5 linked regions of the Bombyx mori genome follow. The protein of the gene in region 5 purifies or fractionates together with the protein of the main gene of each other region. This does not show direct contact. Links are inferred from orthologs where the notes say so. Each region holds a gene or a part of one and is shown on either strand. Other genes may lie near its edges.

Evidence for each region. The genes of interacting proteins can lie anywhere in the genome.
Region 1: the proteins of serine/threonine-protein kinase polo (region 5) and protein bicaudal D purify together in Homo sapiens (affinity purification with mass spectrometry; 6 studies listed by BioGRID and IntAct, counting the BioPlex papers as one, with this or other methods). This does not show direct contact. The link is inferred for Bombyx mori from reciprocal best matches to the Homo sapiens genes PLK1 and BICD2.
Region 2: the proteins of serine/threonine-protein kinase polo (region 5) and DNA replication licensing factor Mcm6 purify together in Homo sapiens (affinity purification with mass spectrometry; 3 studies listed by BioGRID and IntAct, with this or other methods). This does not show direct contact. The link is inferred for Bombyx mori from reciprocal best matches to the Homo sapiens genes PLK1 and MCM6.
Region 3: the proteins of serine/threonine-protein kinase polo (region 5) and centrosomal protein of 97 kDa purify together in Homo sapiens (affinity purification with mass spectrometry; 4 studies listed by BioGRID and IntAct, with this or other methods). This does not show direct contact. The link is inferred for Bombyx mori from reciprocal best matches to the Homo sapiens genes PLK1 and CEP97.
Region 4: the proteins of serine/threonine-protein kinase polo (region 5) and serine/threonine-protein kinase greatwall purify together in Homo sapiens (affinity purification with mass spectrometry; 3 studies listed by BioGRID and IntAct, with this or other methods). This does not show direct contact. The link is inferred for Bombyx mori from reciprocal best matches to the Homo sapiens genes PLK1 and MASTL.

What each region holds. Positions count from the first base shown.
Region 1 is NC_085125.1:2,127,102-2,130,601, reverse strand, and holds part of protein bicaudal D, read right to left. Parts: intron 2,368-3,500; coding exon 2,143-2,367; intron 908-2,142; coding exon 670-907; intron 1-669. UniProt on the Homo sapiens protein: Acts as an adapter protein linking the dynein motor complex to various cargos and converts dynein from a non-processive to a highly processive motor in the presence of dynactin.
Region 2 is NC_085132.1:5,453,839-5,457,526, forward strand, and holds the end of DNA replication licensing factor Mcm6, read right to left. Parts: intron 3,100-3,688; coding exon 2,954-3,099; intron 658-2,953; coding exon 538-657; 3' UTR 501-537; downstream 1-500. UniProt on the Homo sapiens protein: Acts as a component of the MCM2-7 complex (MCM complex) which is the replicative helicase essential for 'once per cell cycle' DNA replication initiation and elongation in eukaryotic cells.
Region 3 is NC_085120.1:10,922,642-10,926,141, reverse strand, and holds part of centrosomal protein of 97 kDa, read right to left. Parts: intron 2,927-3,500; coding exon 2,811-2,926; intron 754-2,810; coding exon 554-753; intron 1-553. UniProt on the Homo sapiens protein: Acts as a key negative regulator of ciliogenesis in collaboration with CCP110 by capping the mother centriole thereby preventing cilia formation. Required for recruitment of CCP110 to the centrosome.
Region 4 is NC_085111.1:9,215,376-9,217,726, forward strand, and holds the end of serine/threonine-protein kinase greatwall, read right to left. Parts: intron 1,953-2,351; coding exon 1,740-1,952; intron 832-1,739; coding exon 785-831; 3' UTR 501-784; downstream 1-500. Other genes in the region: proclotting enzyme, read left to right, coding at 161-316. UniProt on the Homo sapiens protein: Serine/threonine kinase that plays a key role in M phase by acting as a regulator of mitosis entry and maintenance.
Region 5 is NC_085121.1:12,620,914-12,624,969, reverse strand, and holds the start of serine/threonine-protein kinase polo, read right to left. Parts: upstream 2,801-4,056; coding exon 2,702-2,800; intron 2,310-2,701; coding exon 2,085-2,309; intron 999-2,084; coding exon 794-998; intron 504-793; coding exon 311-503; intron 109-310; coding exon of another isoform or gene 1-108. UniProt on the Homo sapiens protein: Serine/threonine-protein kinase that performs several important functions throughout M phase of the cell cycle, including the regulation of centrosome maturation and spindle assembly, the removal of cohesins from chromosome arms, the inactivation of anaphase-promoting complex/cyclosome (APC/C) inhibitors, and the regulation of mitotic exit and cytokinesis.

The DNA.
Region 1 (3,500 bases), on a different chromosome or scaffold from region 5:
AAATACGTACTCGACAAATGTTCACGATTGACTTCCACGGTGAAGGAGTAACGTCGTGTAATAAAAATCAAACCCGCAAAATTATAATCCGCTTGGGTAGGTACCACCGCCCTGCCTATTTCTGCCGTGAAGCAGTAATGCGTTTCGGTTTGTAACTATATTGAGACCTTAGAACTGATATCTCAAGGTGGGTGGCGCATTTACGTCGTAGATGTCTATGAGATCCAGTAACCACTTAAAACCAGGTGGGTTGTGAGATCGTCCACCCATCTAAGCAACAAAATTAAAATAGAATTATCGTAAATGTCTAAGTACATATAAAATTTTGTCATTAGTAAATAATTGTAAATCATTTTTTATAGTATGAGGTAGCGCCCTCTGTGAATTGATATTTTAACTTCACGTATAATCCTAAATTAAGATTCACTACAAGAGGTTTCATACACACGTTAGTATTAAAAAATCTCATAGATGGCGCTGTATTAAAAAAAACACTACACTGAGAACGTCTAATGTGTTCTATCTCATTCTCTCGCCGGCTGAATCCTATACATTTACGTGTTTGTGTCTCTATGGACTTACTTTTTCGTTTCATCGAGTTTGAAATCACAACGATTCTAAAGAAGTTTCACTTTAAAAAAACAACATCTATTGTTGTTGTCTTCTTACCTCGGATAGTGTAGGCGAGGTTCGTAATGTTGTACGCCGCCTCCTTGCTGAGGTGCGCGTCCAGCTCCTTCTTGGCGGCGAACTTGGCTTCCCTCTCAGCCTGCAGCGCCTCCAGCGCCTCGGCCAGCTGCCGCTCGGCGATGCGCCGCAGGGCCGCCGTCTCCTCGGCGGTCGCGCGGGCCGCCTCCGCCTCCTCGCGGAGTTGACGAGCTTCATATTTCAATCCTTCGAATTCCACCTGGTGCAATCAGATAACACGATAAAGTGATAACTTTTTCTGTATTAACGCATACGGATTGAGGTGCGAGGATGCTTGGCTAGTGAAACCCAGCCCACTGAGTTACTAGCCGGATCTTCTCAGTGGGTCGCGTTTCCGATCCGGTGGTAGATTCTGCGAAGCACTGCTCCTGCTAGGGTCAGTGTTAGCATCACTCCGGTTTGAGCCCCGTGAGCTCACCTACTAGTTAAGGTTACGCTGAAATAGCCTCTCAAGGCTATCAGCTTAGGTAGGAAGCCGCGAATTAGCGAACCGCGTCCCTCCCCCCAAACTCCAAGTACAGATTTGATATTTTCCACTCGTCAGAAACAGGACCAGGTAGTAATCAAAATAATTAACAAGCCATATGTAGTAGCATTCCCGATTTTGGATTTTCTTGGGGGTTCCGGAAACCTTTATATACGAAACAAGAACACCACTACTGAATATATTATTTACGAGGTTGAAGAAGCCGCTTGACCAACGAAGCGATCAAATACGCTCGGACTTGCGGACATAAAGTTGTAGTATCGAGTGCAACATCTAACGAAAGCAGCATCGGGATACATTGAAGTGTGTATACTTATATATTATAGCATAGTATTAGCATAGCATTTAGTATATAACATAATTAATAGGTGTAATCTCGTATGTCACCCTAATAATGCGGACCACCCAGAAACATAGGCTTCTTCATAATTGTAAACTAGGATTAAGATGATTATTAAGCACTAGCGGCCCACTCCAGCTCCGCTCGCGTCTTTAACAAAAATTTCAACGATATTTGACGTTGTTTTTTTTTAAATAAAAGAACACATATTGCGGTATAGCTATAATAGTTAGACATATGATGTTGCGACACTTTTTGTAAATAATAATGTGTTCTACAAAGCCGTAGTACATTATTTTATTCTATCATCAATAGTTTTCGCAGGGCATGGGATGTAAAGAATATTTTAGGTAATTTTTTTACACCTTGGGTTACATTATTGGAGTTTTAGTAAGGATCCCTAATATTTTTCAAAAAAGATTTTAGCCGTTATTTCACTCGGGAATAGTGTAGCTTCCAAACAGTGGAAGAATTTTTCAAATCGGTTCAGTAGTTTCGGAGCCTATTCAATACAAACAAACAAATCTTTCCTCTTTATAATATTAGTATAGAAGTATAGATGGAATACAACATTACAACGTGTCGCCGTCGTGTGCCGAGTACTGACCTGCGACGACCTCAGTGCTGAGACTTGCTTCTGTAGCGAGATGTTCTCATCCTCCAGGTCGGTGATGTCGCTGAGCTGCCGCTGCTCTCGCCGCCGCGCCTCCCGCAGCTCGGCTCTTAGGGCGGCGCGTTCGGACTCGCGCGTCGCTTTGTCGGCGCCAAGCTCCGAACTTTCCGTCAGGAGACGGTCGCGTTCACTCACCACTCGGTCCAGCTCGTGGCGGAGCTGCGGCAGTTAATAGATAAATTAACAAAACAAAATCTAGATCGTAGGAAGAAAAATAATCTTTATTTCTAATTGATAAAGTCATCTAATTGATAATATTTATTTAAAGAATCTTTATTTCTAATTGATAGTCATCTAATTGATAATATTTATTTATATATATTTTTATATGTATATATTTATGTATATGTATTTATTTAAGTACGAGTATTTGTATCTATAAATAGTATATACACATATGCTTAAGTAATATCATTATCACACTACACCTACCAAGGTTCATCTCTGCACCCCCCTAAGGTAGACCGTCAGAGAATGCCTATGGCATTAAGTCCGCCTTTAGACTGTCTAGTATATAAAGTTATAAATAAATAAATAAGTAAAAAATAAAAACCCAAGGTAATTCTTTTTTATTTTTTATTGCTTAGATGGGTGGACGATCTCACAGCCCACCTGGTGTTAAGTGGTCACTGGAGCCCATAGACATCTACAACGTAAATGCGCTACCCATCTTGAGATATAAGTTCTAAGGTCTCAGTATAGTTACAACGGCTGCCCCACCCTTCAAACCGAAACTCATTCAACACTTCACGGCGAAACAGGCAGGGTGGTGGTACCGACCCGCGCGGATTCACAAGAGGTCCTACCATCAGTAAATCAGTAGTGCATTACTCTTTTTTGGTGGCGTAGTTGAAAGAGATCCCAAATTATTATAGTTACTTTTTATCTGAGACGTGAATATTAAAAAAATACATAATGTTAAAATACCATGCTTGACAATTTAAGAATGTGTTTAAGCTTTAAGTAATCTCATGAAATTTGGTATTTTAACCCATTTGTCGTTAGAAACACGTCCAGTTGACACGAGTCAACAACCATTAGCACTGATATTGGCATTCGTGGAACAGACCTTCCCATTTTTAGTGCTTTATGAGCGTGGTATGTTTTTATTATACTATATTATAAACATTGTCAATGTGTGACTCGATAAAAGCCGCATGTTGACAACGGTATTCCCGGTATCAACGGTTATTACTTCCGTTTCAAGACCTGTGGACTGTCGATATTACTAAATAGCTACACGCGAATATTTCCAAAACAGTTCCGATCCGCTTATTGAGATAAACTTGACA
Region 2 (3,688 bases), on a different chromosome or scaffold from region 5:
TCTGCCTACACGGCTAATAAAAAAAACACCGAGGCGGACTATATTCGCAATCATATCTATTTAATTAAATTTTTCTAACTGACAAAGAAACTCATGATCATGTCAATAAATTATCACTTAGTTTATGAGCATTAAGAACTCACGAACTGACGGTAGGGTTTCTTAAGAGTTCCACCGCTCTACCTGGCTGCGTTGAATCAGACGCGCGTTCCCCTTTTAGGCACTCAATATACAAAACATTTCTGACTTTGATATCATTTGCTGTGACGAAAGAAAAAGGGTGGATTAACCCTCAGACACAGCCCACTGAATTTCTCGCCGGATCTTCTCATTGGGTCGCGTTTCCGATCCGGTGGTAGATTCTGCGAAGCACGGCTCTTGCTAGAGTTCGTGTTAGCAACGTCGTCAGGTTTGAGCCCCGTGAGCTCACCTACTAGTTAAGGTTACGCTGATATAGCCTCTCAAGGCTCACAGCTTAGGTAGGAGAAAAAAAAGGTGGATTTCGTTTTTTTTTTTAAACTATATTGAGCTTAGGAATTACGCGTCGACAACATAATTTGGATGCACGACTAATAACGGATCGTCTTCTATGTCTTGTTCCGACGACTTCTGAGTTCCTCTGAGTCCGGTCGTTGATAAAGGTATTATTACTTGATCCTGAAATAAATAAAAGAAAACAATAGTGTAAATACTTGAGTGTTTTATTTATTTATTTTATCTGTTATTGCCCTTGTAGGCAGACGAGCATACGGCCCACCTGATGGCGGGTGGATACCGTCGCCCATGGACTTCAGCAACGCCAGGGGCAGAGCCAAGCCACTGCCTACCGTTTAATACTTTTCACAAGCCTATATATAAATGGTCACCCCTTAGGTGTTGTGACGTCGCCGGGCAGATTAGCTTACGACCGCTGATCACATTGACACGAGGTCAATATCTCAATTACATTGGAAATACATTCCTTCTATCCATCAAGATCGTTTACATAATTCTAGATCATAAGAACGAGACTAGTTTTTTTTCTAAACTTTACTTTTTACTTTTACTTTTTTAAGCTACAGATATTTATTTGTCGTTTTTTGTATTTTTACTTGTGTCTATTTATAACAACTACATTTATATTAATTATTTAAGGAAATCTCTTTTAACTATCACAGTTATGTATAATACATTGAAACTAATTGCTTAAGCTTCCAATTGCTTTAAGGTCAAAATAATAGCTAGGACCGTATCACCCATGGATTATGACCGTGTAACAATAGTACCTATCTATTATGTAACAACATATTTTAATGCAGTAGTAGACTAAGTATACGATTCTATAGACAGCGTAGACCTGTAGGCAGCGACTTGGCTCTGCCCCTGTCATTGCTGACGACCATGAGCAAAGGTGACCACTTACCATCAGGTGGGCCGTATGCTCGTCTGCCTACAAAGGCAATAAAAAAAATTTATATACTGACAACATTACTATTTTATACAAAAAAAAAATACGTATATAACTAGTCAGGTCATAAGTATTGTCACACAGTAAAAACTTTTCTTTTAGAATGCTGGCCACAAAAAAGTTTATTGAATTCGAATTTCGAATTGTTCATGAAAATAAAAATGTATACTTGTAGAATTTTACTCATTTTTAAATATGGAGTGGACGCTTAAAGAAGACCGTGTTGCAGTTATTGCGTTGCATCGTTGCGGTTACGCGCCAATTCAAATTTTTAACATACTGAAAAATTTTAATATAACCAAAAGATTCATTTATCGTACCATCAAACGATACAATGAAGACTCTAGTGTAGATGACAGGTCAAGAAGTCGCCCTCGGTCTGTTAGGACTCCAGCAGTGATAAAAGCTGTGAAACCGCGAATTCAAAGAAATCCCAAACGTAAGCAGAAACTGTTGGCCCTTCAGATGGGGTTAAGCAGAACCACGGTGAAAAGGGTGTTAAATGAAGACTTAGGGCTTCGGGCATATCGAAGAAAAACAGGACATCATTTGAATGCTCGTCTAATGGACCTGAGACTGAAGAGATGCCGCTCTTTGTTGAAGCGGTACGCGGGAAAAAAATATCGGGAAATTCTTTTTTCGGATGAAAAAATGTTTACCGTAGAAGAGAGCTACAACAAACAAAATGATAAGGTGTACGCACACAGTAGTGAAGAAGCGAGCAACCGTATTCCGCGTGTCCAACGAGGTCATTTTCCATCCTCGCTCATGGTATGGTTGGGAGTTTCTTATTGGGGCTTAACAGAGGTACATTTTTGTGAGAAAGTTGTAAAAACGAATGCAGTTGTGTATCAAAATACAGTCCTGACGAACCTTGTGGAACCTGTTTCTCATACCATGTTCAATAAACAGGCACTGGATATTCCAACAAGATTCAGCGCCAGCTCATAGAGCGAAGAGCACACAAGACTGGCTGGCGGCGCGTGAAATCGACTTCATCCGGCACGAAGACTGGCCCTCCTCCAGTACAGATTTGAATCCGTTAGATTACAAGATATGGCAACACTTGGAGGAAAAGGCGTGCTCAAAGCCTCATCCCAATTTGGAGTCACTCAAGACATCCTTGATTAAGGCAGCCGCCGATATTGACATGGACCTCGTTCGTGCTGCGATAGACGACTGGCCGCGCAGATTGAAGGCCTGTATTCAAAATCACGGAGGTCATTTTGAATAAACCTTAGTGTCATAAGAATCTATGTTTTGTTAAGTTCATTTTGGTATATGAATGGTTACATAATGAATAAACTTGTTTCAATTATTTTACATTAAACATGTGACAGAATTTATGACCTGACTAGGTATAAATATAATCAATGGATAATTAAGGGTACATTTTTAAATTAACATAGTATAATATAAAAAAAGAACGTGTGGCACTCGGGAACTGCCACGGTAAAAGCTATGCAATAGCTTAAAAACACACACACAAACACAAAAGACACTTACATGGTACATAAGTCTATCAATGACTTTCTCAACTAGTGTCTTTCGTTCAAGTAACTCGTCTTCGCTTTCGATTTGTCCTTGTGCCACCAGCTGTTCTAGGTACCAGCTCACTACGGCAGACTTGTGCATACCGGAGCTCTCCTCGTCTGAAATATAAGTTACACTGAGATTAGTTAAATGGTAATAAAATGTATCAAGACCAAGATATTTCACTGGTTTATTGGTGGTCGGACCTCTTGTGAGTCCGCGCGGGTGGGTACCACCACCCTGCCTATTTCTGCCGTGAAGCAGTAATGCGTTTCAGTTTGAAGGGTGGGGCAGCCCTTGTAACTATACAAGAGACCTTAGAACTTATATCTCAAGGTGGGTGGCGCATTTACGTTGTGGATGTCTATGGGCTCCAGTAACCACTTAACACCAGGTGGGCTGTGAGCTCGTCCACCCATCTAAGCAATAAAAAAAAAACAGAGTGTCCGGCCTCAATCCTTAGACTTGAACTCGACAAATACAGTGCTGTTCTGCACTGTATAAAATGTATGCGTTGTGTTCAAATTATTTTTAAGAATAATTACATTACATGACTCTACAAGAAGCAAAGATCTTTTTCTGTGTTGTGAAAACAAAAATAAGAAACGAAAACGAGTATACCCAAACCCAATACAAACATCTTGCATGTACAAATTAGATGGGACTCGATCGAACTAAACCTTTGTGTATTACTATTAACTATTATTA
Region 3 (3,500 bases), on a different chromosome or scaffold from region 5:
TCTAAAAATAGTTAAACAATAATAAAAGATTTAATTACGTTTTCTGTACAATAATAAGAAAACAACATTTAAAGCCTTTTTTATTTTCCACAACTTATTTTACACAGTATTTTTGAATTAAATAAATGTGAACTCGTTTTTTTTCTCAATAACGGAGAGTTCAGTCAATCTATATAAAATAAATCATTTAAAAAAAAACTAAAATGGTTTTATACAAAAATTACATAAAAAGGTTTTTCTTTACATATATGTATATACTAGCCGTACTCGCCCGCTCCGCTGGGCATTTAGAATTAATATTATTAATAATTGTCATTATTAGAGTCCAACACTCATATAAATATTAGTCTATCCATTAAGTACATGTGTTTTCTACATGGATACCAAGTTTCAAGTCAATCGGATGCACGGTTCAGTAGTTATAACGGAACATCCGTAAAAACCACTGTAGATTTACATATAAAGTATATAGATATGTATATTTATTTGAAAAACATCTGCTCCAAATCGAGAACCTCCCTACGTTCAAGCAGTTTCATTGACAAAAGGATACAGTTTATCTTTCCCCGCCATGGAGACGCAGGGGTTCCCTTGTATTGTGAAGCTTTCTAAGTTACTCAAGTGCACCAGATGACATATTTCGTTGAGGTCCTGTATGTTGTTGTGGGCGACGCCGAAATGCACTAGATTCGAGGGTAGGTAGCGATCGCACTGACGCAAATCTATTATACGATTCCTTTCTAAGCTTAGATACTGAAAGACGAAGAAAATTATGAACTTTACAATTTTTTTATTTATTGCTTAGATGGTTGGAGGAGCTCACAGCCCACCTGGTGTTAAGTGGTTACTGGAGCCCATAGACATCTACCACGTAAATGCGCCACCCACCTTGGCATATAAGTTCTAAGGTCTCAAGTACAATTACAACGGCTGCCCCACCCTTCAAACCGAAACGCATTACTGCTTCACGGCAGAAATAGGCGGGGTGGTGGTACCTACCCGTGCGGACTCACAAGAGATCCTACCACCAGTAATTACGCAAACTATAATTTTGCGGGTTTCATTTTTATTACACGATGTTATTCCTTCACCGTGGATGTCAATCGTGAACATTAATTTGTTGAGTACGTATTACAGTAGAGTAATTTTTTAAACAGATCCGAGGTCGAATGTTTGATATTTGGGACAATAAAAACGTCTTTTATCTGGAGAGTTATGATTCGGCAACGGTTGTCTTGTATGGACATATTGCATTGGCAATTAATTACCCACTATAGTTAGATATCAGACAAAAATTCAAATCGCGTTTGTGGTAATTAACATAAATATTACTCTGCAATAGTTCCGAACACGCGACACTCGCGAATTATGGTCCATGAAGGAATAAAGTGAAGGCGAAAGATCTTCCGCTTGATAATAGTTTGATGAGACAAGTCATCTATGTTGCACTAAAGCAGTGCAGTCTGTTTAATATTAAATTTTAAGGACTTATTAGCTTAACCCTTTAGGCAGTTTAGTATTTCGCAATTGAGAATCAACTTCATTTCTAACATTACATTGCTACTGGTTCGCTTGGAAGAAATTACCCTTCATAACACTCTTATATAGGCAGTTTTTTTTGCAACCACACATTTTTTACGTTGCATGGATGAGTGAGCCTATGACCTTAGTGAGCTTATGACCCACCTGCTATTACCAGAGAGCCCATTGACATAAAATACCATAGCCATCTTTTAGGCATTTTAGTGATTCACGATTGAGAATTATCATTTCTAAGACTATATTGCTATTGGTTCATTTGGACGAAAAGGCTTTTCACGACATTCTTATAAAGACACTTTCTTTTAACAACTGCAAATTTTTTTCGTTGCGTTGATGAATGAGCCTATAACCTTAGTGAGCTTATGACATGAAATTGGTGTTAAAAATGACATAATTACTGGTGGTAGGACCTCTTGAGAGTCCGCGCGGGTAGGTACCACCATCCTGTTTATTTCTGCCGTGAAGCAGTAATGCGTTTCGGTTTGAAGGGTGGGGTAGCCGTTGTAACTATACCTGAGACCTTAGAACTTATGTCTCAAGGTGGGTGGCGCATTTACGTTGTAAATGTCTATGGGCTCTGTTGGAAACCCAACAAAATTGGTATAAAACCTTTTTTATTGTTGTGGTTGTGGTTTCTGACATTACATTTGAATTGGAATTTTGGAATGTCATAGTTTTGTAATTCTCTTTTCATCCGTGCTATTGTACGCGATTTATGAAATTGTAAAAATATACAAATTTTATACGTGCAATCCTCGCGAATTTATTTATCAAGTTCCTTGCCCATCTTAATCATACAGTCCACTACAGGCTCCAGTAACCACTTAACACCAGGTGGACTGTGAACTCGCCCACCCATCCAAGAAAAAAAAAATGCTACTACCCATCTTGAAATACGAGGTTGAAGTCTCATTTTATATTCACGATAGACGTTCCCATCAAACCTAAGCGCTTGACTGCTTGACACTGCCCAAACTAGACCGAATGTCAGTTCCAACCACCAAATGTCACTGGAGCGCGTCGATTTTGCGATTCTACATTGCGATCGTCAAACAGATGGATCAATGTAAATCTACTGTTACCTTGTAACGTGTTGATTATTTTAGCTATTTATGGGACTATAAGTTTTAGTTACCTCTATATTAAACTAATTATTGTAATAATAATATTAACAATGATAATAAGAAGAAAATGCGCTAAATTCTAGTGTCTGCATTTAGTTATTTAAAACTCCTTCGTGAAGCGATGATTATATTTCTATTACATACCTTTAAATTCTTCAAATAAGAGATATCGGCTATGAACGAGATCTGATTGTTTGATAGATCCAAATGTTCCAAATGCATGTTGTTATTCAAATGCTCTATCGATTTTATGCTGTTACCTGAAAAGAAAAATCGTTTTGATTGTCTTAAAACTAAGATTCGATTTGTGTTTATCATCGTGTACTTGCGTAAATGTATTACTTAACATTGAATTTAAATAAATAATAGTTAAAAAAAAACTAACAAAATACGCTTTTATAGAAAATCCAACTAAGAAATAGAAAATAAATTTTAATAAATTTGAATTAGAAATAGTGTAAGAAAAAATGATTTTATTGTAAAAAATATTATCAAAATAACCCTTCTACTCATATCTGTTCATAAAATATTTATAACTACTGATACCACGCACCCCACGCAAACTCATGTTCAAAGATTCAGTTACAAACATACATACGTCTGAAGCTAATAAAAGCGTATTAAAAAGCTTAGAAATATTATTAGCGAAGCTTCTTTCGTATATGCTTTGTAGGCAAAACGAGCATACAGCCCATCTGGTGGTGAGTGGTTCCCGTTGATCATAGACGACAGCAATGCCAAGGCCACAGCCGTGACGCTGACTGCCACAAAACTGCATACCGTTTTAACCATTTAAATATCTATGTAAACTTGCTGTATAATTGGTCCTAGTGT
Region 4 (2,351 bases), on a different chromosome or scaffold from region 5:
TGGTCCCCTTAAGTTACACGTGCCTCATTAACACGATAGCAGAATTGATAGATTTGGTCTGAAAATTTGCATTTACTTTCACCGCCATTATCTCAACTTTCTTTCTTTTCATGGAACAATAGCTTTACTAGTTTATACAACTCGTCTTTTTAAATTTTAGGGTGATAGTGGCGGGCCACTGATGGTCAACGAAGGTGGTACGTGGAACCAAGTCGGAATCGTATCATGGGGTATCGGTTGCGGTAAAGGACAGTACCCAGGTGTATACACACGCATCACTGCATTCCTACCTTGGATACAGAAGAACTCCAAGTGAGGAAAATATATAAAACGTTATAACGGTAGAAAATTGGATGCCGTTATGAAAAACATAAAAATATTTTATTTCAATTATTTTGAGAAAAACAACCTTAAGCTTGCTTTTCTCAATGAATTGATATTTTATTTTGACAACGAAATGTGCCAATTTAGCTTAAGTTTCTAAAATAAAATACGTAAACTTTTCAATAATCGTTTTATTTTGTGTTAGATTAAATTTATTCATATAATTGAAGCACCTATGCTGTGAAAGATACATTTTTTGTTCTGAAACGATAATACATATTGTTAATAATAATGACACAAAATCAGTCTTCAGAATAAAGGACTTAATAATATAATTTTATTACAACGTTATTTATAAATACATTATAACATTTATACTTTTCATATAGATTAACACGCTGATCATTATTATGCAGCTAACATTCTCAACTAGTTAAAGGTTTATCATGAACATTTAAAATTATATGTCGAAATTTGATACTTGGAGTTGTTGTAAAATATTGCGGGCTGAAACAAAAAGTTATTAGTTAAATGATGATAATTTACAATTGAATGTAAATTAGAATTTTTAAATAGAAATAAATATAGGAATTTCGTCAAAAATAAGTAACGTAAATTCTTTTCAGATTCGTGTGGGTAGTTGTCGAAATAAGAAAAATAATGCACATTGAGTAGCATGACGTTAGTTCTATTTATGTGCAGACATGCGAAAGAGATGTTTCTGCTGTGCACCTACTTTGTGCAATATTTTTTTAAAATAACTATTATTACGACATTTCTCAATTTCTTTATAGTTGTTTTTACAAAAATATTCTTTAAGCTGTGGCGGTAGTCATCACAGAACACAAGATATTTGACAGATGCCTGAATCTCGCTTACGACATTTTCAAGATAAGCTTGCATATATACAAGTTCCGAACGACAACATGTGGGACCGGTCATCGTTCTCGTCGAACCCGTCGCTTGCGACGAAGGTCTCGACGAGAAAATTATCCCACAGACACAGCCCACTGAGTTTCTCGCCGGATCTTCTCAGTGGGTCGCGTTTCCGATCCGGTGGTAGATTCTGTGAAGCACGAGTCTTGCTAGGGTTCGTGTTAGCAACGTCGTCAGGTTTGTGCCCCGTGAGCTCACCTACTAGTTAAGGTTACGCTGAAATAGCCTCTCAAGGCTATCAGCATAGGTAGAAATAAAAAAAAAAACATTTGGATCGTCGGTCTACCGAGCAAAATATCACACGCTTGGTGTAAAATCTTCCCGCCGTCGTGTATCCCTATATGGGTGACCTGCGACGGAACAACTGCAGTCTTCACACTACATCATCAGCGCATCAAGAACTTCGGCTACCACAATTCCCGCATTCAGATTCCCCCATAATACAATTGTTTAAGGAGCTAACGTTGTCTGTAGTGTACCTTGGAAGTATCCTGTGTCATGTAAATCGTCGGGCGTGGGAACGAATGGCGGTTCCGTGTTGAGTTGGTTCTCCCAGTCAACGTTTCTGAACAAGGGCATGGCCCGCACGTCGGCGGCGGCCGGGCGCTCCGCCGGCTCCATCGTCAGTAGAGCCTCGATAGAACTCACAGCTTCGGGCGATAACGCTTCGTCACCTTCTGGCCATTCGATATCTGGAATACAAAATACAAAGTACGCTTATATGACAATAAAAAATTTGGATTTCATTTATTGTGTGCCTATACTGGGTATTAGGAGATCGTTTCCGAAGACAGAGTACTACTAAAGACACCTTTGATGATGGGAAGGAAAAAAAATCGATGCTGATTTAAAAAAAAAAACATATTTTTAAACGCATTGTTTACGCTCCGTCAAGTTAGTCGGCTAAATGAAATGATAGTTTCATAAAAAATACATTAATTATTATTAATACTTTTTATTAAAACCAGCAATGAAACACAAAATCAAAAACAGCTGATGCTCGGATCAACGAACGCCCGGGCGCGCTTTTCTTTTACACGCACACCGGCGCGGCGCTGATACCACACTCCCCAAAATTTATAGCTTTGTAG
Region 5 (4,056 bases):
TATTGTAGTTTGAGGGTGTTATCGTCGATTAACGTTCGCGCGTAGCGACTACGTAAATGGTTCCAAGGGCCCCCGAGACAAACGCGCATCGCTACCTCTACTGCCTCACTGGTTGGAACAATAACATTATCTATTGTTAATATTCTCTTTGATAACTTTCTAAAATATAATATATTAACATAACATGTTATCCATGATCACGTATATATTTTTCGTATTGTAATCAATGCTGAAATCAATATTCTATATATACTTTTTAATACTATAATAATGATGATATCCATACAGATTTATATTAAAAAAAAATCACCTGTATTCGCACTGTTTAATCCTTTTGTATGTATCCTTGAGGGTGGACGTCTCAAACGGCGGTTTGCCAACAAGCAGCGTGTACATGATGCAGCCCAGACTCCAGATATCCACTTCAAATGAGTGGCCCTTCTTTGTTAATATCTCAGGGGCAATGTAGTTTGGGGTACCACACAGAGTCTGTTTTCTCTCTCCTATGAAAGTTCATTTTGTTGTTTCAAGTTCAAAAACGAGAAATCCTTAGCATCAGAATTACAACTATGGGCGCACACTTCATGTTTATATTTCTGAGAATGATTACTTTCAGAAAGGTTGAAAAGGAAATTGAATCTCAAGGTTATTCTTAGGTATAAAAAAATGGTTTCAGTTCTTTAAGCAGAGTGTTTGCATGATAAAATTGTAAAAAGTTGTAGTCATGCCTTCATTAAAAACTTTTATCACTACAATGTGATAGAAGATCACTATCGAGTAGGCCTATAATTACCTTCATATTCAATCCTTGCTGCAAGACCAAAATCTCCAATTTTTACATGAAGATCGTCATCAAGGAACAAATTGCCAAGTTTCAAGTCTCGGTGTATTATCCTCTTACTATGGAGATATTGCACGCCAAGCAGTATCTGGTGCATGTAGAACCTAGTCTCTGGTTCTGTAATTGCTTTTCTACGCTTGTGAAGCTCCATCATCGACTGTAAGAGTGGTTTTATTAGGCTATTGGATATCAAACATTTTGTTGATTTATAGGTAGTGAAAATATGTTTTGCATTCATTTAAACGGAGACATGATGAAAGCAACATAATAAGCTACTCAGGAGTACTCATGGGCAGTAACAAATAAATAGGCCTCATCAATTTTATTTCAGAATAGTATTGCAAAATATATTCAAAATATCAACTAAAATATCCTAAACTAAATTAATATATATTGTTAGTGATGCTAAAACTCATCTAAATTTTATAAATTCTTAATGGCATTATTAAAATGTGGGTAATATGAAAATCTGACATCAGAAAGCTGCTTTACTTACTATTTTTACAAAAATATTTCAAAAGAATTCATGTAAAATTAATTATCTTTTTTAGTAAACTTGATTTGCCTTGCTTTTGTCTCCATTCTACAATGCAAGGTAGAAGTAGTTTTAACAGTAAAGGGAATATAACTATAAGAACTAAAATAAAAAATCGCAGAATTTATCAATTTATTGGACAGTTTAATATATAATTCGTAGTGTTCAACCAAAATTTTACTGTTATGTTCAGCTTCATAGATAGTTTAAAGTAAAATGTTTAATGCATTCACAGTCATAAATTTCCCAAAATTTTTAAGTCAACTACTTATGTTTATTGATTGTTTCCCATGTCAATTGCACATCATAACATGCAATTCACATAATCAAGCTGTCTTATTTTTAATGGTACTTGAGTGTATTTCATAAATATTAAAATGAAATATATATTTTTCATGATGTGGAAAATTAAAGAATATTTAATTTTCCAAGACTCAAGAGTTTAAGAGATTTTTTTTTTATAATTTTACTTAAGAGTTCTTTTCTCCATTTTTGTACTGGTGTATCAACAAGTTATTGTTAATCACATAAATGTTATTCCGAGGCTTTGGTGACTGTATGAGAATCAAATGGAACATGGGCTCGGAAACTATCAACCATCTAATTCATTTCCATACCTTAGAATCGTATGAATTTTTAACTTAAATTGTTATTCAGTTTTTTGGACAAGATCAATTGACAAAAAATTAAAATATGCATGATACTTGCCCGTTTTTTACAAAGCTCCAATATTATATAAATATTCAAAGAGTCCTCGAAGAAACTGTGGAAGCCAACTACATGCTTGTGCTGGAGAGACCTGTGAATGGAGATCTCTTGAGCCATCTTCTCTTTGTGCGATGACTTCACTATTAGTTTCTTTGAAACAATTTTTCCAGCATATATCTGGTTGGAGGCTATGTCTTGGATCTCGTAGCATTTTGCAAAGCCACCCTAAAAACGATCATTGTGTTAACAGAAATATAAGCTTTAATTTAAAATTTTCGTCATTGCTTGTGTTTCGCATATCAGTTATGCACACATATTCTATACGTGTCGTTAATTTCTGTTGAATTAATGATATGCAAATTCGACTGACAAACTTCAGTTATATTGATCTGCATTTTTATATGTCTGTAGTCAGGCTATTTCGAAACAGGTGCATGCTGGGCGGCGTTGAACTTTTTTATGTATTCAATGAGACGGTTACTAAAATATACATTTTTGTACTTCGTGTACAGAATATTATTAGTGCTTTAAATGTATAAAAGAACAGAGTATGTATACATTATATCCCTATTTAAAATTAAAGTGTTTCGAATAACGTAGATACAGTAAGTACTTACCTTGCCAAAAAACCGTAATCTTTGGTAGGTGCTGTTAGTTTGTGGATCGTGAATGATTTCGGGGATTTCTTTCTTTTCATCTTCCTTGATCGACGTCATTTTTAGCTAGCTTAAAAATATAAACTACAGTCAAATAATATTAAATAACAGTAAAGTTCACTAAAAGTAATTGTTGACAAATTAACAAAGGGGATCTCAAACGGCCATACGTTTGAACTTCAATTAACTTCAAAGTTTGAAGGCCGTTTTGAACGGTTTTTAATTTTCAACCAATAGGGCGCCGCGATGCTTATACCAGTGTTGCTAGGTTTGTAAAAATGTTATACCATATTGTAAAAATGTTTTTTGGCTGTACAGGCTGCACAGAAATCAGTGCAATAAATCGAAATGGCAAAAATCTTAGACTATACCTACAAGGAGTTTATGATTTGAAACTGCAATGTTGTATAGGTAAGAGTAAGATAATTCATTTTAATTAAAACTGCATTAGTGAGCGAGTAACAATAAAGAAAGACAGTTTCTGTAATGATTTTTGCGGCACTTCCTGATCACGAAATTATTGTTGAAGCCTGCTAAAAAGTTCTTTCTATCGATTCAGCTTGCCGTCAATATTGAGAATATGTGAATATTAATTGAAAGCTATTTATAATTTTAATGTTTAATATCCTTTTTTACTGTTTTTCATACACTTTTTTTCTCAAAAGCCAAGTTTTGTGTTTTTTTTTGTTGTACACAAGTACAAGTGCAGATGTTTTTGTTCCTGTTGACAAAGTGTGCGTGTGTTAAAAATTTTAATGGTGTATAACCATAGACCATAGAGTTACTATTCTAACTGGAGTGCTTACTTCGTTTGACATAAAAACTAAAAATATACTTTATCTCTATGACTTAAAGTTTATTTTTAAATAGCAAAAGATGTAAGGAAAAACGGTCTGAAAAGAGAATGATTATTAAGTGGTGGTGTCCCTCTCGCACATTTTACAAACAAAAAGCAGTGTTGCTAGCTTAGAGGATTTTCCATAAAATCTCGGAATTCGGACCCCCGTCTTAGTTATCAAAAATGGCTTTTAGTGGTTAGTGGATTTTTTAGTAGCTTGGGCGTTGTAGAAAATTATCGAAAAGGTTAAAATCAATCAACTTTACAGGATTTTAAACATTTTATGACAATAATATGTCTAAATACATATTATTTAAACGATGTGACTTAAACTTAACTAGAAAATGTTGCGACAATTTAGAATTTCCATCAACGTCAAAAATTAAATTTGTTCAAAATAAACGTACAAAGTTATGGTGAAATTAGTTTCTGATTATGACAATTTATTAAAATAAATTATATAAGAAGTATTGATTTT